2 linked regions of the Canis lupus familiaris genome follow. The protein of the gene in region 2 purifies or fractionates together with the protein of the main gene of each other region. This does not show direct contact. Links are inferred from orthologs where the notes say so. Each region holds a gene or a part of one and is shown on either strand. Other genes may lie near its edges. The genes, in order: LARP1 and NFX1.

Region 1 (3,906 bases), on a different chromosome or scaffold from region 2:
GGTGAGGGCGGCTCGCCCAAGGTCACCCAGGCGGGGCCCCGGAGGGGCCAGGCCCGCGGAGCGCCGGGGAGCCGGCAGCGTCGGCGCGTCCTCGAGGTGGATAGGGACCCCTCTCCTTCGCCCTGTAAGTCAGGGGTGACGTTAATGGCTCCGACTCCCGAGTCGGGCGCAGCCAGCCTGGAGAGCGCGAGCAGGCCCGCTCGGCCGCGTGGCCCGTTCCCATGTGCTCCACCTGCGGGCGCTCCGACGCGCGGGCCCTTTAAGACACCTCCCCCCTTCCCCCACCCCGCTCTGCGCCCGCCCCCCCGTCGCCCTCCCTCCCGAATTGCATCAGGCACGTGCTCGCCCCCGTCCGGCCGGAGCACCCCTCACCCCCCAGCCCGGGAGGCGCTCCGAGGCCTCGGAGGCGAGGGGCGGGGCGGGGCGGGGGGCGGGGGCGGGGCCGCGGGGCCGTGCGCGCGCGCTCCCGCCGCCTCCGCCCGCCCGCCGCCCGCCCGCCGCCCGCCGCCCGCCGCCCGCCGCCCAGGGCCGGCCTCGGCGGGCGCGCCCCCGCCGCGCCGTCCCCTCCCCTCGCCCGCCGCGTCGCGAGGCGCGCGCCCGCCCGCCGCCTGCCGCGGATCGCGTGGTCGCCTCGGCTCGCCGCGCCTCTCCCCCGTCCGTCCATATTGCTGCAGCCCCCGAGCCGGGAAGCCCGGGCCGCCCCGGCGGCGGGGGGGAGGGAGGGACGGGACGAGAAGCCTGCCGGGCTCGGGGTGGGGGCGCCTAGCGAGGAACGGGCGGGGGGGGCCGCGCGCCGAGGAGGCCTGGACCGCAGAGTGGGGGGCCTTCCTCCCCCCCCCGCCCGCCAGCGGGCCTCGGACCTACGGCGGCTGCCTCCGACCGCGAGGGGAGCCGCGCCTAGCGGGAGCCCCGGCCCTTCTCCGCAGGGACTGGGGCCCGGCGGCCCGGAGGAAGGCGTCGCGGGTGCCCTGAGAGCCAAGTTCGCGGCGGGGGAGGCGGCTTCTCCGGGGGGGCGGGCGCGCAGATGGCCACTCAGGTGGAGCCGCTGCTGCCGGGGGGCGCCCCGCTCTTGCAGGCCGAAGAGCACGGGGGTCTGGTGAGGAAGAAGCCGCCGCCGCCGCCGCCTGCCGAGGGCAAGGGCGAGCCCGGGGCGAACGACGTCGGAGGGGGGGAGCCGGACGGCGGCGCCCGGAGACCGCGGCCGCTCTGCGCCAAGCCGCACAAGGAGGGCACCGGGCCGCCGGAGCGCGAGAGCCCGCGGCCGCCGCCGCCGCCGCCGCCGCCCGGCGCCGAGGGCCTGGCGGTCAGCGACGGGGAGGAGGGCGGCGGCGAGCCGGGCGCCGGCGGAGCGGCGGCCGCCGGGCGCCGGGACTTCGTGGAGGCGCCTCCGCCCAAGGTGAACCCGTGGACTAAGAACGCGCTGCCGCCGGCGCTGGCCGCGGTGAACGGACAGTCCCCTCCAGGTGGGTCCGCCTGCTCGCCGCCCGGGCCGGGACCTCTTCCGGGGAGGAGGGCGTCCCCTCCCCCAGCGGCCTTGAGGGCCCGGGGGTCCGCCGCCGGCCGTCGTGACTCGGGCCTTTTTCTCTCCTTCCTTTTTCATTGCCTCCCGTTTAAACTGGGCCGCCGCGCCCCGTCCCCCGGCTCGCTCGGGAAGCCGCCCCGCCGGGGCCCGGCCTCCGGGAGCCCGCGGCCAGCGCCCGGGCCTCGGCGGCCGGCGGGCAACGGCGCGGCGCGGGCCTACCCGGCCGGGGGACGGCGGGCGCGGGCGGCAGTGCGGGCCCCCCGGCCCGGCGAGTGGGTGTCGGGGACGGTGCCCGGCCGGACCCTCCCCGGGAAGCCCCCCTTCCCGCCCGCCCCGCCCCGCGCTCGCGTCCCGGGAGCGCCGCGATCGGCCCCATGTTGTGAATGTTTGAGGAGCATATGTCAGGGGCGGCGGAGCTCCGGCGAGGCGTTCGCACCGGCCGCACGGATTCGGGCTCGGAAAGTTAGCAAGTTTTGTTGTGTGGTGGCTGGTGGTAGGCGGTAGGATCGCCTTGGGCGGCGGGTCGAGGGGTCGGGGACGGGGACGGGGACGAGGAGAGGAAACCCAACGTGTCACTGGGTTCGGTGGTTTCCCTTCCCGGCCCCGGGGACCTTCCGCCTCGAGCGGGGGCCGGGCGGCGGGCGTGCGGGGGACCCGCTCGGGGGGAGGCGGAAAATGGGCGGCGAGGCCGGGGGCACGCGGCGCGCCGAGGGGCGTGCGGCGGCGGGGGAGGGAGTGGCCGCGCCGGGCGGGCGGGTGACAGTTGGGCGCCATGCGCCGCGCCGCCGGCCCGCGGGCTGCTCGCGGCCGCTGGGCCTGTGCGTTCGGGGTGGAAGGCGGGTGCGGGCGGCGGCGGCGGCGGCGGCGCGGGGGTGCGTGTGCGCGGGGGCCGCGGGGGTGCGTGTGCGCGGGGGCCGCGGGGGTGCGTGTGCGCGGGGGCCGCGGGGGTGCGTGTGCGCGGCCCCCCTTCCCGGCATTCCTCCGCAGCCGGGACAGCGTGGTGCCTCCCCGCGCGGGCAGCGGCATGTGACCGCCGCCGCGCTGCCCGCGCCCTGCCTCTGCGGCTCGCGGCTTCGGCCCTGCGGCCCCGGGCCCTCGGAGATCGCCGCGGAGCCGTGTCAGCGCGGGGGCGGGCGGGGGAAGGCGGTGCGGAACCCGGAGGCCGGCCGGGCCTCGGTGGCCGGCTTGGGCGGGGGGCGCGCTCGGCTTCCCTTTGGAAGTGGATCCGGAGCGAAACCGGCCTGTGGCTACAGCGGGGGGCCTGCGGGGCTGAACTCCTCCCCTTCTGCAGCCGCTGGCCGAGGGGGACTGGTGGAGGTTGAAGAGGGAGCTGATTAAGGCCTTCGCATTCGAGGTGGGGATTAGAATCTTCTCGTAGTCCTAGGGAAACCAGAACAGCCAATTCTGAAAATAGCATGTTGCAATTTTTATTTCTTTGAAGGTTGCTTCATTTGGAGGAGGGGACATTGACGTTTACTAATGATACCTCAGACCGTGTTCTCTCTTCCTTCTGCCCTCTCCCCTTCCCCCCTTTGCCTTCCAGAACCCTCTTATGCAAAGGGCAGTGCCGAAACCTCCATTTTCTTGCGTATCCCTCCTGATCCACCCACAGAGGGAGGGAAATCAACTTTAAAACACTCTTTGGTCCTTCCCCCGTCTTTAAACTCAAAGGGGTATAATCATCCCCAGGAGAGAGCACTCCTCAGAAGTTTAAATGGGGCTACTCACCCTGGCTGCTGCTGCTGCTTAGCTAATGGTGAACCTGCCTTGTGGGTTTTAAATCAGCCGTGACATCAGGAGGTATTGGGTGCCTGAGCTGGCATTTTGTGCAAGTGCAGTGCACCCTTGATAGGGTGCGTCACTGGGGTTATTGATCGTGGGAAGAAGACAGCTTGGCTGGCATCTCGCCTTTCCCTGGAGTGGAGAAGCCAACTTGCTTTAAGTGCCCAAAGCAAAATTCTGAGCCTAGTAGTTTTGCTCTGTTTTTGTTTTTCAGGAGTCTTAAGGCAAGAAAGCGTCTAGTCTGCTCGTTGGTTTTTGAACCTTTGGACTAGTCTTTGACAGACTTAACTCTCAATTAATCCGGTAGCTGCTTTGCTTAAGCCTGTTATTAGGGCCTGGATGCTTTTTGAGGGAGAATTTTGTGATTGAACTCTCTGTCTGGTAAGGTTAGTTGGTGGCCCTTTCTTTGGAGAGTCTACATCGACTGCTAAGGCAGTTTTTCAAGTCCTGATTTTATTTGCAACTTAGACAAGTTTAAATGTGACACCAATGGAGTGGCAGTGTGGTCTTGGGAATTTTTGTGTTCTGTGATGCATATGTTTTTGGGAGTCCACAGAAATGAGTGCCTCATAAGCAAGCTAAAAGCTTTCCAGAGCTTGCTG
Region 2 (3,806 bases):
GCAGGTGCTGAGTGAATGCTTAAACAGTTGCTCCCTCCCACCAATTTCACAGAACTCAAGAACAAGTAGATAAAAGGCAGTTGAAACGACTTACTTTTTCCTTTCCAAGGCTAAACACTCCTCATCACACTCCAGCCTTGAGAAACAAATGAAAAAAATAAAGTCAGGGCACAAATTTCACAGCTCCTACCCAGCAATAAAACCTGGAAACAGAGCAGACTCTCTAAAACACAGCTGCATGAGGTCCCTCTCAAGGACAGGTGGGTGAGCTTCTGGGTTATAGGAATCTAGGGTTCCTCAGAAGGGCCTCAAAGTGTCTCCAAAATGCTCCCAATGACTCTCTGACAGCCCCACATCCCTCTGTTGACATAGCTGGTTCTCTGTTCTGTGAGTTGGGCTGGATATATCTAGGTCTCTGCTTCCTCTGGCTATTTTAAGAAAGGCCTAGAAAAGTCTCCTCTGGTCGTAGCTATATCCTGAGCAAGATTCAATGGATTGGAGTGTGGTCTCTTATTTATTTTTTAAAGATTTTATTTATTTATTCATGAGAAACACACACACACACACACACACACACACACACACACACACAGAGGCAGAGACATAGGCAGAGACATAGGCAGAGGAAGAAGCAGGCTCCATGCAGGGACTTGATCCTAGGACTCCAGGATCATGCCCTAAGCCAAAGGCAGAGGCTCAACCACTAGGCCATCCAGGTGTCCTGTGTATGGTCTCATAACATCAAATGTCTGTTCAAACACCTACCATGTGTGCAAGGCTTCACTGTGGGAGATTGAGATAAATGAATGGTTCCTGCCCTCTGGAAATTAATTCTAACAGAAGACATACATTTTAAAAATTACCTGGCTTGGTGAATTTCTTTCTTAGTAATTAACTTGCTGATTTCCACTGAATCTCCAAGCTGCATGTCTGTTATTTTAGAGGCCATGGAAATAGCAGCTATTCTGAAGTATAAAAAAGAAAGGGAAAAAAAGGTACTGTAGTTTCACAGAAATGTCCTAATATTAGGACACAGAAGACTTCTTTCAAGTTACTGGACAATTCATGTGGCCTCAGAAACCCATCTATTATGAACTATCCACACATTTATGTCATATTTCCTCAATTAGATTCTAAGCAGTTCCATCAGAAACAATGAATAGTCTATTCAATCTCCTTGAATATCCAGTATTCAAACCCATTGATGTCAAAGCCACTCTGATGTCTTCATACTCCAAAATTCCTATCTCCATGACACATATCTGCATATGATTACATGTGTCTGATTAGAGACACACACAACCATCCATCCCTAACACCTTTGCCTCCTTACTGAGATCCCTTTCTGACCACCTGGCCCCAGGATTTCAGGAGGCTGAAAAGATAATTCACAGAATAGTCAAAAACCCCTACTGCAGAGGAAGAGCACAGGACTTGGTCCTGACTGGATCACCCCAAGTGACGGGACGTTAAAGCAGTTCATGCAACTTCAGGACATCATCCCTTTTGATCTCATGGTGTAGTAAGACCAGATGGGAGAGAGGGGAAGAGGAAAAAAAAATAAAAAGATTATTTTAACAAATGAAAGTTAGGGAAAGAAAGGGACACAAAGCAATACTTTTTCTTTGAACCAGAAAAACTAGATTCAGGAAAAAATGTGATGTGATGTGATGTGATGTGATGTGATGTGATGTGGTGATGTGATGTGGTGATGTGATGTGATGTGATGTGATGTGATGTGATGTGGTGATGTGATGTGGTGATGTGATGTGATGTGATGTGATGTGATGTGATGTAATTATTTATTTATTTATTTATTTATTTATTTATTTATTTATTTATTTATTTATTTATTTATTTATTTGGAAAATTTATTTAAAACAACTTTCCAGGTGTGCCTGGGTGGCTCAGTTGGTTAAGCATCTGACTCTTGGTTTCAGCTCAGGTCGTGATCTCAGGGCCCATCAGGCTCTGCACTCATTGGGGAGTCTGTTTAAGATTCTTTCTCTTTCTTCCCCACTCCCACTGGCTTACACACAAGCTCTTTGTAAAAAAAGGAAAAAACCTTCCAAAGTTGACAAAAATTGCAAGGATTTGACAGTAAACAGGTGTCCCCTCTGTATACTGAGACCCACCACTGTTAACAATGAAGTAGCACTAACCTTTGATAAGTACTGGATGCTTCAGAGCAAATCATCATCTCCTTTCTTCGTCCACATTCACACTGCAGCTCTATCTGAAATAAGATTAACATGGACCAACTTTTACAGCATGGAAACCATGCAAATAGGCAGGTTTCACTTTTAAAGCCTCTCCCAAATCAAACCATGGCAGAGGATACAGACATTGAGTGGCTACCCTTCAGGATGGGGGAAGCTAACCATATACACAAAACAACAATGTGGTAGTTGACATGCTAGGAGGAACTGTTCACTCTACAATGACCCTTTCTGGGAACTACTCCTATCCTTAACTCTACCTGAAGGGGCAGGCTTAGAATGAAGCTTTACCACTGAGCCTGGGCCAAGACCATCCAAAGTCTAATCTAACCAAGTCCGCCTCTTTCATTTGCTTTCATCTCTTCAGGGAGGCCTTGCTTAGATCCCTCAGACCAGGCTAAGTCTCCCTACACACAAACTCTCAAAGCACCCTCTATAAGGTATAACTTCTCATTCACCACAGTCATAATTCATTATCTGAGTAGGCAGTCAGTATGTGTCCCACTAACTGAAGGGACATGTGTGTCTCCTGTTCACTGGTATGGCCCCAGGACCTAGCAAAACATATTGCACAAAACACTTAAAATTTGTTGAATAAATGGAGTGGCCAGAGTCTCTCTTGAGAATTTACTCTAAGGGAGAGAGGCAGTGACTGTGGTCAGGTGGCACTGGGGGGTACCTTCTGAACTAAAAGGCCATATCAAGTTGGGCAGACAGAAATCTACTTACTCCGCTTTTCTCTTGCTAACTTAACTTACTTCCTTGCAACCAATTACCTCTGATTAGAATGTGTGTCCAGGCACCTCTGCAGGTAGTTCTAGACTCATGAGAAGTCCCAGAACCATAATCAATGCCCTATCTAGAGCCAGGAATACGCACCTTGGCTTTACAAGCAGTCATGGGGCAGGGTGAGCTGGGGTGGCAGGGCGCCATACACGGGTGGCCACAGTCAGCTCTGGGGGTAGTACAGGGCTGCTTGCAGGGCTCATCCACAAGACACTCTCCTTTGTGACAGAGTCTCTGACACTTGTGCATCCCACATGGTAGCGTGGCACTGCAGGGTAATCCGCAAGAGATATCAGCCAGGTGACAGGGGATGTTGCTTCGTAACTAGGAGAGACAGAGTAGCCAGATTCTTATCTCCATGTGGTATCTGGGTGAGTTTTAATTTCCTATTTAAACATTTCTAAATTTTCAAAGTTATTATTATCTGAAAAAAATTAGGCTGATCTTCAAAATCTGAAAGGTTAGCTTGAAAATAAACAAATCTGAACCTTATTTAATGATATTTGTTATGATCCAAAAGAATTTGTGCTAGCAACCAAGTGTGACTTAAAACATACACTTCCAGGGTGGGTAACAAGCACATGAAACCAGGTAACTAGGGAATATTTGAAAATGCTAGGAGACCAACTGAGGGGATCAGATGATCTCCCCACCACTTTCCTTTACAAATAGCTAGGGCACTGAGTTGACACATGAACTCAGAGGGTTGGGGATACCCTTGACCCATGGTTTCAAGACTGCTGGCAGGGCTCTTTTACATAAACAATTAAATATTCAATTCTCCTCACATCTTTCAACTCA

Evidence for each region.
Region 1: the proteins of NFX1 (region 2) and LARP1 purify together in Homo sapiens (affinity purification with mass spectrometry, with the first as the bait; 3 studies listed by BioGRID). This does not show direct contact. The link is inferred for Canis lupus familiaris from reciprocal best matches to the Homo sapiens genes NFX1 and LARP1.

What each region holds. Positions count from the first base shown.
Region 1 is NC_049225.1:55,910,260-55,914,165, reverse strand, and holds the start of LARP1 (la-related protein 1), read left to right. Parts: upstream 1-1,009; 5' UTR 1,010-1,024; coding exon 1,025-1,463; intron 1,464-1,910; exon of another isoform or gene 1,911-1,920; coding exon of another isoform or gene 1,921-1,984; intron 1,985-3,906. UniProt on the Homo sapiens protein: RNA-binding protein that regulates the translation of specific target mRNA species downstream of the mTORC1 complex, in function of growth signals and nutrient availability.
Region 2 is NC_049232.1:50,683,557-50,687,362, reverse strand, and holds part of NFX1 (transcriptional repressor NF-X1), read right to left. Parts: intron 3,377-3,806; exon of another isoform or gene 3,330-3,376; coding exon 3,099-3,329; intron 2,237-3,098; coding exon 2,163-2,236; intron 966-2,162; coding exon 864-965; intron 137-863; coding exon 95-136; intron 1-94. UniProt on the Homo sapiens protein: Binds to the X-box motif of MHC class II genes and represses their expression. May play an important role in regulating the duration of an inflammatory response by limiting the period in which MHC class II molecules are induced by interferon-gamma.